4 linked regions of the Arabidopsis thaliana genome follow. The protein of the gene in region 2 interacts with the protein of the main gene of each other region in a pairwise test. Each region holds a gene or a part of one and is shown on either strand. Other genes may lie near its edges.

Region 1 (5,714 bases), on a different chromosome or scaffold from region 2:
AAAGTTATTATTTTATTAATTTATCGATTTGTATCAATTCTTACACTGGTTTCAACTCGGGATTGAATGAATTTATTAATTTATAAAGTTTATTAATTTATTGAATATTAATTTATAGATGTTTTACCTAAGACCTGACGGTTTTATGGGCAACATACAAAAAAACAAAAAATCCAAGATTATTTTGAAAGGTTTTAAAATTTAGGGCCAATTATCGTTAAAATCAATAAAATTGGGGCCATTTTGTAAATAATTTTTGTTAAAGAATTTGAAAAAAAAAAAATGGGCCACACTAAATGTTTCATATTGCTTGGCTACCCCTGCATAAGAGTTAAGACAAGTACGCGGACTAACAAAGTTCATTTTCTTGTTCAAGTATGTACTTTACTGTTGTTTATTTTTCTGCAGCTTCACAATATCATAGTGCAATTCTATAGCTTTCTTGGTTATACATAACAATATTGATATTAACCATTCAACTTCTTCTACGTGAGGAAGATATCTGTTGAAAATCACACTTTCACTCTCAAACTACCTCTTCCAACATTCTTTTGAGGTCAGCACTCTCACTCTCTTGTCACTCTGTTTTGCTTTTGTTTTCTTTAGAGAGAAACAAGAACACGTTTAAGAGCATGATGTCTTGATAATAAAACTTGGGTGATTCTCTTACAAGATACAAACACACATACTTATTATAGTTTTACTTGAAACACTTACACACACAAGCATGCTCTTAAACGCATAATTAACTCTGATTTCTTGCAAGCTACTCTACTACATATTGGGACTCTAACAACAAGCATGCTCATAAACACAATTTATGTTTCTTTTTATTTCCTCACCTACTTTGCAGTTTCAAGATGCAGAATCTCTTAATTTTTTTATTATAGACATAATAACTTCTGTGAAAGATTGTAACTAAATGTATATGTTTTATTTTGGTTGCATTTGGTACTTGAGAAAGAGGAACTAGTGTCACCAGAATAACTCAAACTGCACGTAATTATCATAAACAATAAATATACAATTTACAAACATCATTTCAGAATCCATTTTGTTTAATGAGGTTGAACCTATCACCATATAAGCTATTTAGAACTCTTGTTGAATATGTTTGTGAATCCATTCTATTGTGTGTTTCTTTGTTTTGTAATAACTCTGGTCATGAGTTTTGAGTAGAGAGACATTAAAAAAAGAAGCACATTTACAAAATCCTAAAAGTTCATTACAACCATCGACCAAAAGGTTTGTTAGACAACTTATCTTAATCTTGTTATAGCTAATTCTCACACGAGAATCCAAAAGACTAAAAATCCATAAACGTAGATAGAAAGATAAACCCTAAGATAGATAACAAAAGAGGGCATTACATCCTTAGATTAACCCTATACAATCCCTAAGATAGCTTCTTCTTCTTCTTCTTCTTAGTTGGTTTGAGCAAGCACCGAAGTCACATCCTTCAAAACATCCATCTCCGCCAACAACAACTCACATTTCTTAGCGTCCACAACCTTCATCTTCTCTTGAATCTTCTTCTTAGTCTCCAGAGACACCTTGCTCCACTTCTTCTTCACAGAATACTCATCCAAACCGAGATTCGCGATAACCGGAACAAGAAAAGACTCCTCAAACCACTCCGAATCTGCTCCAAGAATCACTTGCTCATCTTCTATAACCAAAGGTTTCTCCACCTTCTTCTCCTTGCTATTAGCCTTACCCTTAACAAGAATAGATTCATCTTTCTTCACAGGAGATTCAACGTTCATACCATCAGATCCCCAAATCAAAACAGCCAAACCCAAACATTTCTTATCATGATTCGATTCACCACTTTTGTTCTTCCGGTTAACAAAATACTTATTCTTTAATCTTCTAATCTTGTCAAAGAACTGGACATGACTAACATCAAAGCTTATAGATTTCTTGGCGATATCAAAAAACGCATTCTTATGATCCCAAGGACTTGTACCTGTCTCAGCTTTGAAATCAATCACTGCCTGTAGAAGAGAGATCTCATCTTCTTCACTCCATACTCTCTGAGGATTCGCCTTTTTGTTATCGTCCTCTTTCTTAACTCTTTTGACATGCATGTCCCTTGAGGTGCTTCCTTCACCAGCTCGCTTCTTCCCTGACTTCACCGCCGGTGATTCAGCAGCACCTTCTTTCTTCTTCCGCCTGGTTAAGACGAATGACTGCTTCTCTGAGTCATCAGAAGAATCTGTCTTAGAATTCACAGCGGCGGAAGGAGATTTTAGGGTTTTAGAGGAAGGAACTGTGACAGGATCTTTGGGTTTGCTTTCTTCAGAAGAAGACTTAAAGATCTCTTCAGAAGAACTCTCAACTTCGCTTGAAGAAGCGGTTGCTGGACTTTCCAAAGGAGCCATTGGATTTTCTTCTTTCAGATTCTCGGGTATGAGTACCAAGTGGGAACTGAAGGGACAATTTTAGGGTTTGTGAGTTGCGAGACTTTTTATTTTTTTACACTGTAACATCTCTTATATTTAAGAAACAATTAAAGTAAATAAAGCTCAACAACAAAAACTAATTAAGCCCAACAAAATAAATAAACCATCATCCTTATATGTAACACTGTAACATGGGAAAAAAAAACAATTTTTTGCCCAAATGTATAAGAAATTTGTATAACAAAATTCATACTAGATTTTCTTGTTGTAATTCTTGGTATACAAAATGAAAGGTTTCTTTGTTGTAAAACAAAAATATATGTACTAAAAGTAATTTTACAAAGTCGCTTTATATTTTTACATTTAGAAAGATCATTTGATCAAGTGGGAAACCTTTATTGAAATTAACAAAGTGGAAAAGATTGTAAGTAGTGAAATTTAGTGTCATCTATAGACAAAAAAAATGTAAATTAGAATTTAGGAATATGAATTCGGTTAGGATTAGTCGATTAGGTTTATTGAGTAAACTCAATAAAAATTACTGTAGTAATACTTCAGTACTCGGTTCGGTTTATAGTTACCGAACTGAAACCAAACGATTATTCTAATTTAATTGAAGTTACCAATTTTTATCTTAAGTTTAATTAAAATTATTGAAAAATATGAACTCTCTCTTACAGTAAACCGACCTGAAATTGGTTTTTGGTTCCAATTTGACACCAATATTTTATCTTGAACCAAATCGAAATTTATGCTATTAAAATTGAACCGAGCCGAACTTTACTTTCGGTCTACTTCGGTTCAAGAAATTTCAATCCAATACATATGAATTCTGAAAGTCCTGAACCGAACCAGAGTGTTTAACCACAATAAAAGTCTCTTCAATGGTCTCTTCTTGAGTATATCAATGGTCTCTCATAGTTTCAACAACACCAATAAACTGTCATCTTCAAGTTGGAGTTTATTACACTCGTTCCTTCAAGAAACTGTACCGTCGACTTTCAGATTTAGCCATTTAGGACTTCTCAAGATTTTGAAAATGGCGCATCAACATTTCTTCAAGCCTCTTCTTCCTGGCTTCCACGCCTCCTTGGTACTCTCTTTCTCGCTCTTTCCCTTCTTCTATCTCTGTCTATGTCTCTCTGAGAAGCTAAAGATGAGTCTGGTTTTGTATTTGCATGTTGCTTCAGACAATTCCTGTAGCCTTCTTCTTGAAGTATATAGAAGGAAGATATGAGCAGAAGACGGCGAAGCTGAGATCAGACGCGTCAAAGAGAACTTGGGAAGTGAAGATAGATGGCCAGAGACTCACCGACGGTTGGAAAGAGTTTGCTGTCTCACATGATCTTCGAATCGGTGACATTGTTGTTTTCAGACAAGAGAGTGACTTGGCTTTCCATGTAACACTGTTGGGACCTAGTTGTTGTGGGATTCAATATGGTTCGTGTTCAGTCGAAAAGAACAACCTCGGTGACGGTGAGTTGTGTTCTGTCTCTGGCTCTTCAAGAAACGTGGTTTGCTTTTGGAATGTGGATCAGTGAGTAGAGATAACCAGTTTGACTATATAACACTTATTTTTCAGAGAAAAAGAAAGTGAAGGAGAATCCAAATGGAGAAGCAGAGTCTTCTTCACGAGATCCCTCTTGTTTTGTGGCTAATGTTGCGCCTTCGAGTCTACGTTATGACTTGATGGTATTTGACTCTTAAGAACCCGAAAAGAAACTCTCATTCTAGGGTCTGAACTCATGTTGTATTCTAATGAATTTTTCAGAGATTTCCAAGGGGTTTTGTGAGGGATAATGGTGTAGTCGGATCTGGAGAGATTGTTCTGATGAATGAAAAGGGCAGATCATGGAATTTTAACTTGAGACAAAAGCCATCAAACGGAACAGTTTATGTTAGAGGAGGGTGGGTGAGTTTTTGTGATGCCAATGGGCTTAAAGCTGGAGATAACTACACTTTCAAACTGATCAAAAGAGCAGGAACTCTTGTTCTACGTTTGTTACCCAATGAGCCAAAAGAGGAAGCTAATGAAGTGTCTCTTCCCGAAGAACCGGAAAGCGATGCAGAGCGCAACCTTGGTGAGTTCTGTTCTTTCTTTCTCTAACTCTGCCCATGATACTTGACATTCAAGAAACGTGCTCATATGGATTTTATTTCTTTCTTTTTTTCAGAAAAGATTCAAAGGAAGGAGAAAGTGAAGAAGAATGTAACAAGAGAGGCAGAGTCTTCTTCACAAGATCCCTCTTGTTTTGTGGCTAATGTCTCCCCTTCGAGTCTACGCTATGACACACTGGTATTCTACTCTTACTTTTGAATCCCAAAAGAAACTCTCATTCTAGTGTCTGAAACTTATGTTGTATTGTTCCAGTATCTTCCAAAGCGTTTTATGAGGGAAAATGGTGTAGACAAAAGATGTGGAGAGATGATTCTGATTAATGAAAAGGGAAAATCATGGACTTTAGATTTGAAAGTAAAGAAATCATCCGGAACTTCTCTCATCAAACGAGGATGGAGAAGTTTCTGTAGTGCCAATGGACTAAGAGCTGGAAGTATCATAACTCTCAAACTGATAAAGAAAAGAGCAACTCTTGTTCTACGTTTGATCCCCAACGAGCCAGAAGAAGCTAATGAAGTAGTCTCTCTTTCGACAGAGCAAGAAAGCGATGAAGAGAGTATCCACGACGAGAAAATCTCAAGAAGAAAGTCTTTACTATCCGAAAACCGATTTGTGACATTAACTCTAACACCTTATACAATCCAAAGTTCTCTACTGGTACGTTTCATCATTCCAAGCCATTGTCTTTTAACAGTCTATAGAATGAGAATCTTTTGTGTGAATCTATGTTTCAGCGTCTTCCGGTTCCTTTCACGAGGATGAATGGTATCAATGAAGAAACTAAAATGACTCTGTTGGATAAACATGGTGTGAAGTGGTTAACGACTCTGCGGTTCGAGGACGACAAAAGAAAAAGACTACGAATGGTAGGAGGATGGCAAGGATTCATCCAAGCTAACGATGTGAAGGCAAACGAATCCATCATGTTGGAACTGATTTGGGAAGAAGAAACAAGTTGCGTCCTTAAGTTCTGCTCCAAGGTGAAGCTAGAAATCAAATGAAACTCTATATTGAAATGAATCAATGTTTGACTCTTTTATTTGGTAAGATATAACTCTTAAGGTTTCATTGTCTTAGAGAGTAAGAACAAAAACCATTTTTCTTTTAATCTTCTACATTGTTAATATCTTGGATAATATTACAAGACACACACACACTCTTACTTATACTACTTCACTACACTCTTAGGC
Region 2 (5,867 bases):
AATCGTCAGAATCATCACTATTAAGAACGATAACATCATCACTAGCCTGAGATTCTTCTTCACAATCAGATCCCACTTTGATGATGTCCTTGCTTTGCTCTGAACTTCTCTTAAGCCTCTTACACGTAGTCTCATGGTCAAAGATAGAGAAATTAAAAAAATGAGAGCCATCAAACTCAAATGACAAGAGATCTCCACCGTTCAGGTTTTCGTCCCTTACAATCTTCTTCCAACCACTAACCATAACAAATCTCTCAACCTCACCACCACATTTCTTAAACCCTAATTTCCAAATGTTTCCAGAAATGCTTCTAACAGTTACAGTTTTAGGCAAAGACTTTGGTAAACAGCTGTTGAAAGAAATGGGTAGTACCTGAAAAGTTTCTACAAATTTCAAGCAACCAGAAAACAAAAAACAGAGTGAAGAGAAGTGTGTTTTATTACCAGATCATCACCGGATTCACTAGGAAGGTACGGTTTAAAGAACTTTGAAGTAAAACCATTAGAGTAATTTCCTGTTCCAAAATAAGAAAAGGAAGAACATCAATGTACAGAGCACATTACAAGGGAAGAATCAGGAACAGAGAAGTGAAAAACCTCTTGTGTTCATTGTCGTCAACTTCTTGTGCTCTTGGAAATACTCTGAACCCTAATTTTGATCGGAAATAAAAAGGTGAACAAAGTTTCTCCAGATCCAAGTTTTTCCAGATGTGATTTGATCTAAAGGTGTTGGCCTTTTGTAGCAAAAACTTGCAAAAACAGAGGGTTCTCTCTGTTTCGATGCTTTTTCCTTCAAATGGAAAACAAACCATTAATAGTACTCTTCTTATTCAAAAATAATTCGTTAAGCGGACCAAGGTATCGCTAAGGCCCAAACAAAAAACAAGAAATGGGCCTTAAGTTTGGTTCAATCTATATCGTGTAAATGACATTATCGTCCTTAAACAAAAGAACCACAGTAAAGAGTCGAGAAGGGTATATTAGAGAAAGAAGGACTTGTGACATCTCAATTCTTGAACAAGAAACTTGAAACTTGAAAGAAGAATGAGATAGTGTTAAGTGGCAGAGTTCCAAGTATCTTAGTATTATTCTCCTCCTATGCCAATGCTTTTCTTATGATCACATAGAGAGTAATAACATTCTTTTTACATGAACTCGCAGGTTTTAAACAGCCCTGATGTGTGAACCATTCATAATGATTTCTCCCAAAATCTATAGCTCTAGTATACATTATTATTGTAAGACTGTGTTGATCGTCTTTTGCACTTCATGTTTCAGACAAACAAACAAAATCAAGAAGTGTATAGAAAGCATCAACATCGATTATGTTCCGAGAAAACCAATAAGATTCATAAAACCAAGTACTCTACTCATATAAAAACTCTCAAGTAAAAATAGATAATGTCTTGGAGTTAACGCATAAAGCCTTATCAAGAGATCATCCTCTTATAACATGGACCTTGATTTCTCGAACAAGACCATCCATCTCCTTTTCTAACTCACAAATCACCTTGTCATTCAACTTCACATTATTCCTTCTGATTATACTACGGAATCCCTTGATTGTTTGACCCTTAACTTTCCTCTTCAATTTACCAAAGTTTTTCTCGAGTGGATCAATCAAATTGATGAACTCAGGGAAGTGTAAGCCATACTTCGTTATGACCTTAGTTGGTATGCGCAGCTGCATTACAAAGATAACATCATAAAACAGAAGTGGTACATTATTTTAATGAAAATGCAAAAAGACATGAGACTTTCTTCACATTTCTTACCATATTATATTTTATTTGCCGATGCTGGTTCACTGTAAAGAAAGGGTTCATGTGATTATCCAGATATTGTCTGTCATGCTCTCCAGAAGAACCTATCAAAATTTATACGCAAGAAAATAAAAAGACAGTGATGCTCTCAGTCTCAGTTAACTTCACAAGACAAAAGTTTCTATTATACCTTTCTTTTTTTTCTCTGTTTTGACTCCTCTCCATCTTTCTTTCTCAACATCAGCATGATCATCGTCACCATAATCTTGATCATCATCATCATCATCATCATCAATAACTATGATATCTTCACTAGATGTATCTTCCTCAACATAATCTTGAACATCATTAATATCATCATTATCAGCATCATCAAGAGCTGTAATATCTTCACTAGATGTATCTTCCTCATTATAATCTTGAACATCACTAATATCATCATCATCAAGAACTATGAAATTTTCACTAGATTTAACTTCTTCCCCATAATCTTGATCATCATTAAAACCATCATCATTGTCATCAAGAACCGTGATTTGCACTGAACTTCTAAGCCTTTTACACGTTGCACGACCATAGATACAGAAATTGAAACACCAAGAGCCATCAAACTCAAATTCTAAGAACTCTCCACCTTTCAAATCTTCGTCCTTGACTATCTTCTTCCACCCATTAACCATAACAAATCTCTCACTATCACCACAAAACTTCCTAAACGCCACTTTCCAGATGTTTCCATAAATGCTTCTAACAATTACATTTTTAGGCAACGACTTTGGTAAAAAGCTGTTGAAAGAGATGGGTAATTCCTGAAGAGGAAGGATCTAAAAGTTTCAATAAACTAAAAATCTACATATAACCAAAAACAGAGAGAGAAGTGTATTTTTACCAAATCATCTCCGGAATCATCAGGTAAGTACACTTTGAAGAACTTTGGAAGACAATCATCCACAGAAATTCCTGTTCCAAAGCAAGAAAAAAATCAGAACATAGGATAGGTTATGTGATTGGAGAATCAAGAACAAACAATAGCATAAAGATCTTAACATAAAAACAAGAGTCTAAAGAAGAAACCTCTGTTCATCATCTTCACCTCTTTGAAACCCTAACTCTTTTAGTGAAAGTGAAGGTGAAAATGGTTCTTGAAAATAGAAAAGTAAAAGAGCTTTGTTAATAGATCTCCGATCTTTTGGTTTGCTTTAGAGATTTTGCCTTTTGTAGCATAACACAGAGACTGTATTGTCTTCTAGGCTTATTGCTACAAATGGAAAAATAAAACATGTGCTAACTACTTTTACTTCAATGCTCCATGAACCGAACCGATATGATTTTAATCAAACCGAAAAAATATTATCCTAACCAAACCAAACCAATAAAGGGTGAACGAGAATTTAAAATTCAAATAAATGGGCTTTAAAGTCCGGCCCAATCGATTTGCTTTAAATGACAATAATAACCTGAGATTATAGAGAACGTTGGTCCGATCTTCTTTCAATTTCAAGTTTTTCAACCTCTTCCCGCTTACGAGGCCGGGATATTCTATCAACAGTCGTCTCTTCCATCGGCCGAACAATTTCCGATTTACCGACTAGGATTTTCGCCTACAACTTCCGAAGAGATTTTCTCAGTGTAAGTTTGAAAAAACCTAGCTATAGGATTCCGGATTTCCTAATCGTCAGATCTTGGGCTCGAAAGAGAAGCTAGAAATGGATAAGGATCTCTTAGATATCTCTGGAGAAGACGACGAAGATAATTGGCTTCTGAAGAATACGCCGAAGAAAACTAATTCGAGCCGAGGAAAGAGTTATTTGAAATGCTCACCTCTCCAAATCCCTAGATCTAGTCGTATCGTTCCTACTCGGCCTCCTTTTTCCCCAATTGGTAAGCGCTTCAATTTCTCGTTCTCGATCCGAGCTTCGTTCTGATAATTTCTCTCTCCCTTTGTTAGAGTGTTTAAGCATCTGAATTAGCATTGTTTAAATCTTAATTTGATAAAATAGCAAATTAGTATAAATGTTGTGTATTCTGCGGATATATGAAGGTTAATACTTTTTGCAGGAAGAGTAACAGGCACCAGCAACAACAGGGAGCAGCCATGCGCTTCAGTTGATACAGATAGTGTAGGAAAGGAGAATGCTAAAGTTGAATTGCCCAAATTGAGTGTGGAGCGACAACAGATGAAGAAGAAGAAAAAGAATGCAGGGTTTAATTTGCGCAAGAGTTTAGCATGGGATAGAGCTTTTTCAACGGAAGAAGGTGACTTTTTTTTACCAATTTCCTGTTAGTAGTAAAGGTCAAAGATTTGGTCTATGTTACTAAGAATCTTAAGATGTGTGATATGGTCATGAACCAGGTGTTTTGGATTCATCTGAGTTATCTAAAATAACTGGAACTGCTTGCCATCTTGGTGGAGATCGGTTAGCTGCCATTCAGGAAGAGTACAGAGAGTCAATGTCAGCTTCCAAATGTAATGTTTCACCAGGACTACAAGCACTTGAAGAAAACTTATTTAACGACTTGCCTGTGAATAGTAAAAACAGAGAGAAGAAGCTTGTCAGTGGCATAATGCCCAAGTACGGATCACCATCTAAATCCCAATCTTCCTCGGTGAGTTTACTGGACCTAAATATTGTGGAGCTAATGAGGGTCATAAGTCGTTTCTTTCCTTGCGTAAATATATATATTTTGAGGCGCAGTCTATCTAAATGTCGAATATCTGCATTATAGGCCCAGAAAAAAGTTATCTCAGCTCAGGATTTAAGGAGTGGTTCCAAGCGCAGTGGCTGTCCCCGGCCTCCTCCTTCATCTTCATATCCTTTTCTTACTTTGAGTACTGAGTGTATAGGCAATCTTGATATCCTTTGCAGGTCTTGTTTGTGTTCTTTTTGCTTGTTTACCTTAACCATCTTGCACCCTGAAAAGACCTGCAAATGTGCATACAACAACATCACGTTGCAGGGAGCTGAGCATATCTAAAGTTCCTACTACCAAATCTGACCCAGTTACAGTTGGAAACAACATGAAAAGGACTACTCAAAGTCCAATCAAAGCGAAAAACAGTCAACCTACTCAATTAAGTATGTTCACTTCAGTTAGCAAATAAAAACTATTCATCTCATATCCTTTTTAGTTCTGTTACTTTTCATCCTGTTTATATATTGCTACATGGTTTTTTGTCTGATATGACAGAGAATTCTCAGAGGAGCTTAGGATCTGAAAGCTTCTCTAAAAACACTTCAAGCACCAAGAGTAAAACAAAATCCAGTCTGGCGAGTAAATCTTCAATTCCTAAGCCCTCTCTTAAGCAAGCTAGAAGAAATGTGGTAAAGCTATGCTGCCCTCTGCAAACCAATATAGCAAATAGTTTATGCACTAAAAATTTGCAGCAAATGCTTTGTTTCCAATATTCTTCCTATTAAGAGTAACCTATTGCATTTTCTTGAACTCTAGATCAGCAAATCTTCAGAAATTCCGACAGTATCATACTCACAGCATTCTGTTGTTGCAAAATCCAACGTTGGCCCTATGACTGCATCAGATGTGGCTATGCTTGGTCATGCATCAGTTATTCCAGACTCTAATGTAATTACTCTGGGCACCTCGTTAGCTCAAAGTTCTTGCAATAAAGCTGGAAGCACGCAGTCCGCAGTTTCACGACTGGGAAAGCCATCAGGCTTAAGAGCGCCAAAACCTTCAATTGGCTATTTCAGTCAGGTATATTATTGAAATATACTGAATTCTATCGTGAGATAACTATGGTTTTGTTCTTGTAACTCTAACATACTTCATATTTTTGCAGTCTGACTCTCAACCGTCGCAGAGTGCGGGAGACAAACACAGTCAGCTTCCCAGATCTGATGTTTGTTCAGCCGCTCATTTTTCTTTGATCCCTACCTTCAAGAAACCCCAAGTTGCTGAAAAGTTTCCCGGTGTCAACTGCAAGGCAGCAACTGGAATTTTTGGCAGTTCAGATTCAGCTGCAAGATTCTCTGCTCAATCTATATGTCTCAAACCTTCACAGGAAAAGTTGAAAGTGGACTTGAATAGCACACAGGAAGTAGAATCCAAAGTGTTGCGTTGTCCATTGAGTTTTCAGATAAATGA
Region 3 (7,195 bases), 2.0 Mb from region 2:
TATATCTAACATAATAACATTAAACTTTTTAATTAGTCCAAAAAATGAACTTACAAATTATTATCTACTAATAACGATTTCAATGAGGTATGCAGCATGTTGTTGGGTTTGTTTTGAGAGTGACGCAAATCTGTCTTTTCTCCAATCTAATCAAAGATACATAGCGATTCGGTGACATCAATTCTAGAACCAAAAAGATTTGATTAAACAGAGAAATTGACTTAATATGCATTTATAATATAAGCTCTTATGTTGTAGAAAAATCCAAACCTGTTCCACAAGCAAAAACTAAGCTGTATGGGACCATGTTGATATAGACTAAGACCCTAAGCGATATGTACAAATACAGGTGTTATACATAGAAAGAAAAAGAAACCGTTTTTTTCTTTTTCTTATATCTAATTCATATACAGCTAGATATACATGTAATTTAAAATGTTATCTTTATGTAGTAATTTATTGCGAGGGATGAAATATCTGACGGAGGTTTTATGTGAAAACTCGAAGGTGTATTTGATTTTCGGTCAAATATATTTTAATGGCTCTCTCGTATATTGATGATCACGGCTCGGTACATTGTCCTATTACGAACTCGATAAAATTAATTATATTATTTTGTTGTGCAAATCCGATTTAGTAGCTCGTCGTTTGACCCTATATTGAGACATATAAAACATATAACAATTTGCAATAAATAATTAGTTGTTTTTGTGTATTTCTAGTTAAAAAAAAATTGAAAAAATTGTGATACAAAGAATTATAAAAACGTTGACAGCAACATGACTGACTAAACGAAGAAATATCTTACGTACATTACATTTTTTTTGGGGTCAACACGTAGATTATAAATTCAACAAATCCTTAATACGAGAGAGGTAAGTATATTATGGCCCATCAAGAAGGATAGTGGCTTATGGGCCTATGTTATAATATGAAATAAAAGCCCAATTATAAATGAATTTTTATATACTAGAGTGCAAAGTCTGGGCCCAAAGTAAACAGTCTAACGTGTCTTGTCGTTTGATTTCCTCCACTCTAATTATAAATTAATTAATTACGGGGAAAAAGATTAATTAACTTTAGTGAATCCATCATCAATCAAAGACTAATAAAATAAGCGTGAAGGACAAAAGCACTACGGGTCTCATTGTCTTGTCTCAACCCGCATTATTTGTACTCGCAAATGCTGCTAATCTGATCTACTGTTTACTTTTGCATTTTTGTAATAATTTATCTGTATTACTATTATTGTTTTTTACCAATCACTTTTTAATTAGACACATATTTTCATGTACTCATAATTTTAAATATAATGTCTGATGGTAGTTGTAGTAATTTGAAATAATTAATATCCTTTACTTATTATACAGACGATTAAACAAAATATGAGAAAGAGAAAATCAAAACTTTTTACGGGGAAGGTTAAGAAATGCCGTATTATTATTCTGGACGGTGAATATTTTTCTTTTACTTTCCTCTTTGTGCATAAGGTGTTAAAGACTTTTTTTTTTGATTAATCGTCTTTAAATCTTTGGTAAAAGGAAAGAAAAAAGGTTAAAAAGAATAGAGAGGGGTAAAAAAGAGATAACGTGAGTGGTACGGAAGAGTGATGATGAAAAAAAAAGAGTCAGAGAAGGTCATGATGATGATGAACGGACACAGGCCTCTCTTACTCTCTTACCATCAAATCCTACGGTCAGATTGAGATATTTTGTGCTTCCCATGCGTGTTCTTCAATCCCATTTCACCCCTTTTGTTATTATTATGCTCCCCTTTCCCCAATTCCCATTACCTTCCTTTTTTAATTACTTTGAATTTTTTACAGTAATTTTTTTTATGTATATTACACCCGACTATAATTTTTTTCTTTTTTTCTTTTTAACACGAAAAGAATGTAACCGACTATAAAAATTAACATACATAATTTACCTGTTTATTACCAACGAATTTACTTTTTTACTTTTTAACCAATCATCCTTATTACTATGGATTAAACGTTGTGTATGATGATCGTAACAGTGCAATTCAGACATATTTAATACTCCAGAAATATGTATGTTGTTCACATTCAAATTTTGTACTTCTAACAATAACACCACAAATTATACTTTCAAAAAATGAGATTTTTTTTTTAAACTCAATTCGGACAAACTTGTATGTATCTAATTTTTGTCATGACTATAATTTTGTTTCAATCAGTTTACTTATTTAAGTGCAAATTCAACAAAAATAAAAAACAAAAATCTAGCACGTGACGTAACCTTATGAAAAAGATTAATCTATAGTCATTATTAAAGTTACTTATACTATTTACCCATTCATCTATCTAGAAGACTACAATGAATGCCAAACCAAAAAAAAAAAGCAAAATGAAAAATTCAAGTTTGGGGGGACTAACATTTCTCAATGGGCCCCATCCAGTTGGGCCAATCTAAGTAAAAAAAATTGAAAGATAAGGAAACGTAATAATGAAAGTTAAAGAAATTAGGAAGGTGGCGGAATTTAATTAAATTTAATCCGAAAGAAAGAAAGTGATTATAAAAAAAGATTAACAAGTCTTAATTAATTTTAGATTAATAAAGTAGAGATAGAGAGAGAAAGGAAGAAAGTGGAAGAGGTTAGATGTCCCATTCACCACCCGGCAAACCGACTTGGAATGCCGCTTTCTTGTCCCCTCCTCACTCCTCTTTTTCTCTCTTTACCATTTTACCCTTCATTCCTCAATCACATTATCATCACATAGAGGTTACATTAGTCATTAAAAACAAAAGGATAGAATCGGAATTTAATATTTGCAGACAACCATCCCCTTTCGGGTGGAGCCAGAAAAGTGGCATAATTTTGTTTAAAGATCCGACTCCCGACATTTGTACATCAACGGTTCATATCTGCTGATTTAAATCCGACGGTTTAGAATTATCAGCACGATCAAATCTGAGCCGTTGGATTAGAATCCATTCGTAAATAAAAATACGCAACTTTTTCCACTTATTTTCTATTCTACCACTTTGTTTAGTTATTTTAATTTTAATCTCGGCTACGAGTTTCTGGGTAATGATAATTAAGCTTTTTTCTGCTTTAATGGAAGGACCTTGACACTTCTCTCTCTCTTTCTCTTTGCTATTCATCTTCTACAGTTTCTTAAAAATTATACTCTTCTTCTCCAAAATATCTCAGACTCTCTTATTTTTGATCGTCTTCTTCTTCTTCGTTGTGAGCTTCCATTTTTCATCCAGGATTTGTTTTTTCCGTTTGAGGTAATTATGTCTTCTCTGTTCTTCTTATACATAGTTTCAAATCCGGTAATTTTTAGCTTGTTGTTGTTTGTGTGTGTAGTTAGTAGTTATTAGATCTATTAGCTATTGAGTTTCTTTGCTGATTTCCTCACTATTTCTATGGCGAATTTTGGTTTGTTTGAGCTGTTGGCTTAAACCTTGCTAGGTTTAGTGATTTGTAGATAGAATTCTGTGGAAATTCAAATCTGAGATCAGCTCGAAAAATGTAACTCAACGGTGTAGTTTCTTCATCTGACCTTAAGTTGACTTCTATTTATTTTTAGCTTTCCATTTTTTTCTCAGATTGAGCTTTATTTTGCTCTAAATTTTGGTTGTGAGTTTTTCATAGATGCAATCTACTTTTGAAACCCTAATTGATACGGTTTCGAGTTTCTTCGAATTTTGATTGAAATTGAGTTCTTGATTTTTTCTGGTAATTTAGGGTTTTGTTTGAGGATTTGTTTATGGTTATGTGAATTTAATGTGGAGGACTTTGTGCTGTGTAAATCATCAGGTAAAGCAGCTTTGCAGTTAAAGAAACCTTGAGTATCCAATGTCCCCGGAAGAGGAGCTACAGAGCAATGTATCGGTGGCTAGTTCTTCACCTACTAGCAATTGCATCTCCAGGAACACTCTAGGAGGACTTAAAGAGCATAACTACTTGGGTCTCTCTGATTGTTCTTCTGTTGGAAGCTCTACTCTCTCTCCCCTTGCTGAAGATGACAAAGCTACTATCAGCCTCAAGGCTACGGAGCTGACACTTGGTCTTCCTGGATCACAATCTCCTGCGAGAGACACAGAGCTTAACCTTTTGAGCCCAGCAAAGCTAGATGAGAAGCCATTCTTTCCTTTGCTTCCTTCTAAAGATGAGATATGCTCCTCCTCGCAAAAGAACAATGCATCGGGAAACAAAAGAGGCTTTTCTGACACAATGGATCAGTTTGCTGAAGCTAAAAGTTCAGTGTATACTGAGAAAAACTGGATGTTCCCTGAAGCAGCAGCCACCCAGTCTGTAACAAAGAAAGATGTGCCACAAAACATACCCAAAGGACAGTCTAGCACTACAAACAATAGCTCTAGTCCACCTGCAGCCAAGTATGAATAGAAGATAGGAGCATTCGTTCGATTTTGATATGGATTACTTTCAACAGCTAGCTAACTGGTGTTTTTTCGGATTCTGGAATTTTCAGGGCACAAATTGTCGGTTGGCCTCCAGTGAGATCCTACAGGAAGAACACATTGGCCACTACTTGTAAGAACAGTGACGAAGTTGATGGGAGGCCAGGTTCTGGGGCTCTCTTCGTGAAGGTCAGTATGGATGGTGCTCCTTATCTGAGGAAAGTTGACCTGAGGAGCTACACTAACTACGGGGAGCTTTCTTCAGCCTTGGAGAAAATGTTCACCACTTTCACTCTTGGTGAGATGTTTCAGTGATTGCTAGTGATGTGTTTGAAAACCTCTTTCTATTTAAGGATCAATGAATGAGTGCAGTCAAAGTAGTTAACCTGCACTGTTTATTTGATGTTTAGGTCAATGTGGATCTAATGGAGCTGCTGGGAAGGATATGCTTAGTGAGACCAAGCTCAAGGATCTTTTGAATGGAAAAGACTATGTGCTCACTTATGAGGATAAGGATGGTGACTGGATGCTTGTTGGAGATGTTCCGTGGGAGTAAGTTTCCTCTCTTATATTCAAAACTTGTTAGAAGCTTTCTCTACTCTCTGCCAGATATCTTAGAATCAAATCTAACATGCCATAGAAGATTATATCATGGTGATTGGTATAAGCGCTCATGAGTGATTTCTGATCCGATGTATATTACAGGATGTTTATTGATGTCTGCAAGAAGCTGAAGATAATGAAAGGGTGTGATGCTATTGGGTTAGGTAAAGTCTATTCTTCTCTCTGCTCCTAAGCTACAACGTAAACTACTATCTCTACTAAAACCGATTACAAGTAGTGTGTATGATGAGATTAGTGGTTTGTTGGTGTGAGTTACTTGTAGCTGATTTAGAAATTTCAATTCATGTTTGATCACTCGTCTTCTTTTGGGAGTAAATACAACAAATTAACATGTAAATAAAATCGAAATTAAACTGATTTCAATTCATGTTTGATCACTCGTCTTCTCTGATTCAAAATGTCTTAATGATTCAATGTGGTGAACTGGTGATATTGCAGCTGCAGCTCCGAGAGCAATGGAGAAATCGAAGATGAGAGCTTAAAAGATGGAACATGACAAAGCTTTCTAACTATACAAAATATGTGCGATCTTTTGGTGGTGTTTTTAAATTTCAAAACATCAATATCTTTAGTTTCTGAATTTTTAAAATGAAGTAAGTAAGACTACGAATGTAAGGAAATGAAGAAGAATTAAAAATGATCTATTTTTGTTGTTTGTTTGTTGCTTTAGTCAGTAAACTGGTCGTTGTTTTATGTTTTGTGTTTGATTTGGATGTGTGGTTGACTTCTACCTTTGAGATATTATTTGATGTAACGTTTTTGTTATTCTCTTCTTTGCTTCTTCTCGAGAAGAGAAGATAGACAATCCGGTTTTACGATTTGGCTTTCTATCATTGAACATGGAGGTTCTTCTTCTGCATTTGCAAAACAATCTTAAATATTAATCAGTACTTAAATCTTTGAGGTGGATTGTTAAATTCTAACACATTTGAATGCGGAAGTGGTAAACCTACGTTTTTCTCAATGTCTATGACTCTATTCTAAATGGAATATCAAGATTAATCAGAAAGAAAAAAAAATCTTTTTATAACTGTCATAACTAAACTGTGCTACCAAATCATTGCCACCAACGGATCTTTAAACCAACTTGAATAATTCACCTGAAGAACCAAAAGCTACAAGACAAATCAAAGATAAATAAAAGTAATTTCGCCGGGAAAAGGTTTTGATATCATTATTTCACTTTTTAACCTTCCATGAAACTTTGTTTACCTTAGCAAGCATGGGCTGCGTACAAACTCATGATAACTATATAGTACAATCCCCAAACGAAGATATCATAAATTTCAACGAATCAGTTTTAGATTTAGTGAATAACTATAGTTTAATAGTATCGAATAATATCGTTTGAGAGAAAAATAGTCAAAGATACATGAACATAAATTCCCATATACTAATTTCCCATTTCTCATTCAAGGAACGTTTATTATTTTTCTGTTCCTGAAGGTGGAAGCATAGTGCGCCTCTTTGGGTTTGGCAATGGTGGTTTGCTTATTTGTTTTATGAAAATTATTTTTGTGATATCATTTATTGTTCATTTTTAATAATTCCGTTAGCGTTGACAAAACAATATGATTAAACCCCACCTAAAATGAAATGTTATATTCAACTGTCCAATTTTTCAAAGAGGCGTTAATTAATCAATTCCAAGGCATATATTCGATCAAGATAATTAAAGACTCATATAGTACTCTCATAGTTTAAGAGAACCTACGGGTCGAATTTAAATCACTCTTGTTACTTTAAAACTTTAATCCAAATAATGTAGTATATATCTGTGATTCTTGTAGCTAGCTTCACGTGAACTTAATAGTATACACATAAACAACAATCATTGGTCGTGAATCTCATTTAATTCGTTTCGCTTTGATGCACTTATTCGAATGGGACATACTATATACATCCATATAAGTTGATAAACTATATAGTAATATTCAATGTTTTTAAAATTAAATATATGAAATAGACTTAGGGAATGACATGTCGAATTTGTCTCCAAAAGATATGAATTGAATTATGCTTCTCAGTAATGGAACGTGGCAATACCTTTATCACTCATCTATATATGGTTGTTCCCCAAAATTATTTCTTCATCAAACGAGAAAAATAAGATTGTAAATGTAAATGATTTGATCATCTCAATGTTGCATTCAAGAATAGTATCTATAATATTTAGT
Region 4 (5,925 bases), on a different chromosome or scaffold from region 2:
TATTTTTTGGTTCGTGTGAAAAACAGAGACAGGGAGCGAAGATGATGCTCTTTTGGACCTGAGTGACGATGACTTCTTTGTCAACGGAAGTTCAAGTGACGAAGCAGATGCGGATGATGAGTGGACTGATAAAAGCACAAAGTACGCCTTGTAAATGTGGATTAGTTTCTTTAATCTCAATACTTAGTGTAGTTTATCGATTGTATTAGTGTATAACATGAGAGATGAAGAAGAGTCAACGAGGCTAGTGGTGTATTCACCTCTAAATTCCATATGATTTCTATGCTAGAAGAAGTCGATTGTTGACTCTTTTCTGGCTTAACGTTTCCAGTAAAGATCATCTCTGACTGTTGTCAGCGTTTTTTTCTCAGAGAGCCGGTTTCTAGTGCTTCTGGTAGAGCAACATCGAGCATGTCCAGTGACGAAAGAAATCAGGTATGATGCGAAAGCTACTCACAGTTTTGTTGTTGCATGATACTGGGGACTCTTATACGCCGAGAAAGTCAGAAACGTAACTTGTTCAATTCCGGGGGGGATCAAAGAATATGAAAATGAAGTGTTATATATTGAATGTTAGTATTTTGGTAAGTGATTTCTTTTCTTTTATTGTAGAAGCCATACTCTACTAGGGTTTTAATGCCACCACCACGGTCAAGGTTTGCATCAACATCTCGTCAGTATTCATCTGTGAAGAGGAATGAGATACCTTCCTCCAGCAACACTTCACATAGAAGAAGCCAGTCTTCACATGCTGCCACTAGTTCGCATACAAGTCAGAGTAGCAACTTGAGTTCTAATTCTGATGCTCACAAACCCAAGAGGAAGAGAAGGCCTAAGAAGAAGAAGCTACAGGTGAGTTTTCTCTCGACTCTTTCCTGGAATTCTGTTTCGTACTTTTGTTGAAAGTCTTATTGGTACATTTGCATCAATCTTTCAAACTCTATAACTAAAGAATCTGCATTTTACAAGCTGATTATATATTATTCGTTTTGCTGTTTCAGGCGTGAACAAGGTCTCTCCCGCCATGTCTGAGAAAACGAAGAAGCTCGTAACACAGTTCATCAATTCCAAAAGCTTCACTCATTACTACGGCCTGTCTAGTCTTACATCTTCTGATTGGATCTAATGCGTATATATATGTTGCCATGAAAGCAGAGAGGTAGGTGTCTGTTGTTTTTGGCTGATGAAATGAACCCTAAGCTTTGGGCAAAACGTATTTCTCATATAAGATAAGTTTTTTTTTTGTTTCTATTGATTTATGTTCATGTTGGCTTTGATCGAATTGTATTAATTAATGGGAGTAATCCAACCTCGACCATCAATAATATGATCTAAGAACTAGTGAACCAAAATAGAAAATGGGTATTGCTTGAAAATCTCTTTGATCAATGAGAACGCAAAACAGAATTGCTACAAATATAAAAACAACTCTTCAATCTTCATAACACTTTAATTAATGTAATACACATAACCAAAGATTTAAGGACAACCTTTTGCCCTGTTTCTGAAACAAAATGTAATTAGGTTCCAGTTTCATATGCTTAAGACCATTAAGCATGTTTACATTTGAATTTTACCGATGAGGTAAATAAAGGCTATGAATTGGATTCAATCCAATGAACATAGATCTTGCCCGAGAAACCCGACAACCCAAGCACAGACAGAGATTTCTCTGAACCAAAAGAAACTCTATTTTTCTTCAAGTTCTTTTGTGTCTCTGTTAGATTTCTTGAAGATATATCTCATACACCACAGCCTAAACCTTTGGCTTCTGATCCTTTCATGATCCTTAGTCTCTTGCACGTACATATGAACATCCTGCAACAACAAACAGAACCCATAAGAACACTTACAAAATTGTTGTTTCTGATTTTTGATTTTGTGGAAATTGTTTTCAGACAGGTATATGAAAGAAGACTTACTCCCATGGAACATCACCAATGAGCATCCAATCACCATCTTTGTCTTCATAAGTAGGCACAAAGTCTGAACCTTTATATCCATCTCTCTCAAAGTACTCTCCCACAGAGAATTTGAACATCACTTCTAAAGCTTTAAGCAACTCTGAGTATCCTTTGTAACAACTCAGATCTATTTTCCTCAAGTATGGTGCACCATCCATACTTACTTTCACATAGATTCCTTGACCCTCATGCTCAGATTCATTCTTCTTACTCTGAATGTTGTTCTTCCTGTAAGATCTAACTGGTGGCCATCCAACAATCTGAGCCCTGCAAAAAGGAAGAAACACGGTCAATCAACTGAATTCTCCACCACTACAGATTCAGAGACTTTTGTGTGAGTTTAACTTACTTTCGAGGAGGGGATGTTTCAGTTTTCCTTGATGATGATTCAATCTCCTTCTCAGTATCAGTTGATAGTACTCTCTTATTGTTGTTATTACAGCAAGAAACTCTCTCTTTTGCTTCACATACATTATCTGTTCCCGGTAATCCCAGCCTCAGCTCTGTTTCCTTGAGGTTAACAAACTCATCCATTTCTTCAAGAATTGCAGGAGAAGATAAAAAGAAAAGCTTTTGGTTATTATCCTTGAAAGAGAGGAGAGATATAGAGAAGCTGCTGATGATGAAGATGAGAGGCTTCGAGGAAGCTGAGTGTTTTATACAAGTTAAAGGAGAATAAAGATAGATACTGGTAGAGAGAGAAGAAACTGTTTTCTGAATTAAGGACAAAGGAAAAAAAGCTAAGCTTGTCGGTAGCAGTAACAGCAACTTTGAGGCAAAAGTGTGTCCCATCTTCTTGGGGACATTTGTGGGGACACTTTCTTTTTCTCCCATCTGTCCAAACCCAAAAACAAAATATTTTCATCTTTCTTTCTTGTGATAGACGGTCCAGATCAAATCTTCGAATCCCCCACCACATGTGGTATGCCATATGGGCATATCACCTCTCTCTATCTCCCATTAATAACTTATCACAACCAAGAAATTTCGGATCGTAAGCTCATAATCTTTTCTTACCAAGAACAACAACCGAATACATATTTTACTCGTTTTCTCAATAGATGGATGGTTAATTAACTCTATATGTAAAGGTAGCTAGTGTTCAATGTTTGGATTGTGGGTAGTTCAGATTTGATGAGTTTATTGACTTGAGATCATAAGTAATAATTTATGTCTCACATCTTCAAAAAACAGGTACTTTGGGTGTTGAAGAGCCAAAAACAGAGCCTACGTGACAAAATTACTTATTGTTCTTTACTGGGGTTTGTTAAAGCCCACAACTTTTGTCTCTCTGTCTCTAACCTATTAATCATGATCACCACACACACACACACACGTATATATGAATTTGAAATAAAACTGAGCATCACGACAGGACATCTTCCTTAAGGATCAACTAGCACAAGGCTTTAGTTAAATGTCAGTAACATCATAATGGGGTCTTGTAGTTTTGTTTTGGAACCTGAGAGATCTTTAACAGATTCTCGCTGTCTTTGTTTATGTTACAGCGTGGCATTGGTTGTATTCTACTTATATGGAGCTCCTATTGTAGATGTTTACGTCTTTGACATAACCTACTCGAATTGAACCGGATCTAAGTTTTGGCTCCATTTTTTGGTTTTCTCATGCATGGCTTTCGAAATCGAAGTCCGAATCGGTACTATGCAAAGAGTTGTTAAGAACTTATGTTATAACTTTACATTATACGTGTAACAATAATCCTAAAAGAATTTTTTTTTTTTTTTTATCTACATATATACGTACGTAGTGACTTTCAACAAGTACTAACGATTAACGAACATATTTCAACAAAATAAATTCATACAATTAGAGGTGACTGCTAACAGCTACTCAGTACTCATCACGCATTGATTTCTTCTGTACGGTGAGAAACATTCTCTTCTTGGTTCAGTCATAAATTACTAGATTCGTTTTCTTGACAGAACAGGTCATAAGTTTGAATTGAATTAATTGTATTTATACCAAGAAAAACTGATGGGAATATATATATATTTATATCATTATTTGTGAATTGGTCACAATATATAGAAGCATTTGATGACTAATATATGTAATATAAAGTTTGCACACACAAACAAATATAAAGTTTTTCCTAAAAAATTTATTTATAATCCGTCAGTGGAACGTAAGATAAAAAATAAATATAAATTAAATGTTTTGTATTCCCATATATATCTTATCCATAAGGAGTTAAAGACTTTTATTAGGCATGAATATCCGCAGGCTTTTCTCATTCACTATAGTATTATGGCATCATCTTTTATTTTTCTGCACTCATTATATGTCATACTGTAGCATACTTTGCAATTTAATTATATATATAAACGAATTTAGTAACTTATACTGAAAATAAAATGACAATGTCTTAGCTACAACAACTAATCACACAAAAATGATTTGTTTTGGTTTTTTAAAGGATAAATTAGACCATTAAGTAACAATCACGAATTTACTATAGTAGCAGTTAACGCAAAATATTTCATGAAACTTTTTCTAAAATAAAATTTGAAAAATTAATATTTTTCTTTTGTATATACTCTTATATGTCGGATTAAAACCTAATAAATTCCTCCAATATCCATTAGCAATTTAGCCAAAGAAGTGAAGATAATGATGATAATTCGTTCGTAATTGTATTTGCCGACATGATTAATCATAACACATGTCACTCAAATATTTGCTTGCCCTACAGAGCAGTAGAAGATCTCAAGCCACCGTATCAACCGTACACGTGTAACCAATGACAGAAGATGCAGGTCCCACATCTGATCACAGAATCGCTGGTTGATTATAGCACTCTTTATAAAATCTAATCCGAAAGCTAAACCGCGCAAGATTTTTAGCACTTAACCAACGAAATTAGAGTGTACTTATGACTCTTTTGTTGATATAAATGATTTACAATAGAAATCAACACATTGTATAATAATTGGTGTGGTCCAAAGTTTAGAATATTTTCTTTATTAAGTTAGTTAAATTCCTTCGTAGTAGAAATAATGCTTTCCGAAATTTTAACACATTTTCATTTGCAATTGGACCATCTTTATAGGAGTAATTAAATGGGCTGGGCCGCTACATTTTGGAGTTTTATTTTGCTTTGACGGCGTATCTGGACCACTTCAATCTAACCACCACTATTTTTTTCCCATTTTCTTTAACCATAAAGCCAACTTTACAATTTTCTTATCCACATATTACTACTAATCTTTTATTTTACTCAACTTGGGTTCGTAAACCAACCTCGGGGTTTCCTCATTAATTTGAGGGATCTGTTTCTTCTTTTCTTTTTCTTTTTTCTTTTTTAGTTTGCATTAGAAAAACTTCAAATATTAGTCAATGTTTGACACTCTTTAGGTTATTATAGAACGTTAAAAAAAAAAAAAAAACTTTTGCGTCAATATGTGATACAGTGATAGTTTTGAACTTTTGATAAATAATATTATCTTCAAAGTATTTGTATGAGTTTAAAATGTTTTCCTTGTCAAAATATTATGGAATTATTTGGACAAAGAGAATATCTTTACCGGTCAAATGTAATCAATAAAGCGATCCCCCAAATCTCTTACTCATCCCACTATTTACCTAATTTATGGATTCTGCAAATCGTCTTTGATCTCACCGTTAAAGTTTTGGGGATCAACCAATATCAGATATTTTGAGATCCCAATATATTTGATTACCATTTCACGATGATTACAAATGAGTATATATAAATAAAATAAGAACAAACCTTAATTAAATCTCTTTGAGAAAATAAAGACTGTTTAGTTATCATAACACGTATAGAAATAATCTGTGGACCATCACCAAAAACGCAGAGATAACAAATTAATTTTTTTACAAGATTGTCTATTAATAAAATTGGGGGTTTAATTAATCTAGTAATTAACCACTTTTAGAAACATTAATTAAAAAGTAGACATTCCAAGCAACGGTACTG

Evidence for each region.
Region 1: the proteins of AT5G60142 (region 2) and AT4G00250 interact in binary tests that used the Arabidopsis thaliana proteins (3 or more experiments, as listed by UniProt).
Region 3: the proteins of AT5G60142 (region 2) and IAA9 interact in binary tests that used the Arabidopsis thaliana proteins (3 or more experiments, as listed by UniProt).
Region 4: the proteins of AT5G60142 (region 2) and SHY2 interact in binary tests that used the Arabidopsis thaliana proteins (3 or more experiments, as listed by UniProt).

Annotation. Positions count from the first base shown.
Region 1 is NC_003075.7:111,527-117,240, forward strand, and holds AT4G00250 (DNA-binding storekeeper protein-related transcriptional regulator), read right to left. Parts: upstream 2,457-5,714; 5' UTR 2,385-2,456; coding exon 1,425-2,384; 3' UTR 1,179-1,424; downstream 1-1,178. Other genes in the region: MEE45 (Transcriptional factor B3 family protein), read left to right, coding at 3,445-3,498, 3,596-3,881, 3,988-4,097, 4,177-4,486, 4,580-4,701, 4,777-5,181, 5,226-5,525. UniProt on the Arabidopsis thaliana protein: Transcription repressor that binds DNA in a sequence-specific manner, 5'-GCCT-3', to regulate the expression of PGR. Acts as a modulatory component for the glucose-triggered developmental leaf growth process.
Region 2 is NC_003076.8:24,214,742-24,220,608, forward strand, and holds AT5G60142 (AP2/B3-like transcriptional factor family protein), read right to left. Parts: upstream 3,009-5,867; 5' UTR 2,851-3,008; coding exon 2,838-2,850; intron 2,724-2,837; coding exon 2,653-2,723; intron 2,612-2,652; exon of another isoform or gene 2,573-2,611; coding exon 1,954-2,572; coding exon of another isoform or gene 1,928-1,953; exon of another isoform or gene 1,868-1,927; coding exon 1,776-1,867; intron 1,685-1,775; coding exon 1,439-1,684; 3' UTR 1,206-1,438; downstream 1-1,205. Other genes in the region: AT5G60140 (AP2/B3-like transcriptional factor family protein), read right to left, coding at 1-373, 445-515, 598-610; AT5G60150 (uncharacterized protein), read left to right, coding at 3,470-3,644, 3,822-4,019, 4,117-4,370, 4,491-4,573, 4,677-4,840, 4,953-5,086, 5,214-5,477, 5,563-5,867.
Region 3 is NC_003076.8:26,250,635-26,257,829, forward strand, and holds IAA9 (indole-3-acetic acid inducible 9), read left to right. Parts: upstream 1-2,773; 5' UTR 2,774-3,257; intron 3,258-3,312; exon of another isoform or gene 3,313-3,501; intron 3,502-3,789; 5' UTR 3,790-3,828; coding exon 3,829-4,370; intron 4,371-4,465; coding exon 4,466-4,692; intron 4,693-4,804; coding exon 4,805-4,946; intron 4,947-5,099; coding exon 5,100-5,161; intron 5,162-5,456; coding exon 5,457-5,500; 3' UTR 5,501-5,910; downstream 5,911-7,195. UniProt on the Arabidopsis thaliana protein: Aux/IAA proteins are short-lived transcriptional factors that function as repressors of early auxin response genes at low auxin concentrations.
Region 4 is NC_003070.9:1,126,822-1,132,746, forward strand, and holds SHY2 (AUX/IAA transcriptional regulator family protein), read right to left. Parts: upstream 2,869-5,925; 5' UTR 2,799-2,868; coding exon 2,314-2,798; intron 2,232-2,313; coding exon 1,923-2,231; exon of another isoform or gene 1,819-1,922; coding exon 1,743-1,818; 3' UTR 1,328-1,742; downstream 1-1,327. Other genes in the region: AT1G04230 (rRNA-processing EFG1-like protein (DUF2361)), read left to right, coding at 27-141, 372-435, 613-852, 1,002-1,007. UniProt on the Arabidopsis thaliana protein: Aux/IAA proteins are short-lived transcriptional factors that function as repressors of early auxin response genes at low auxin concentrations.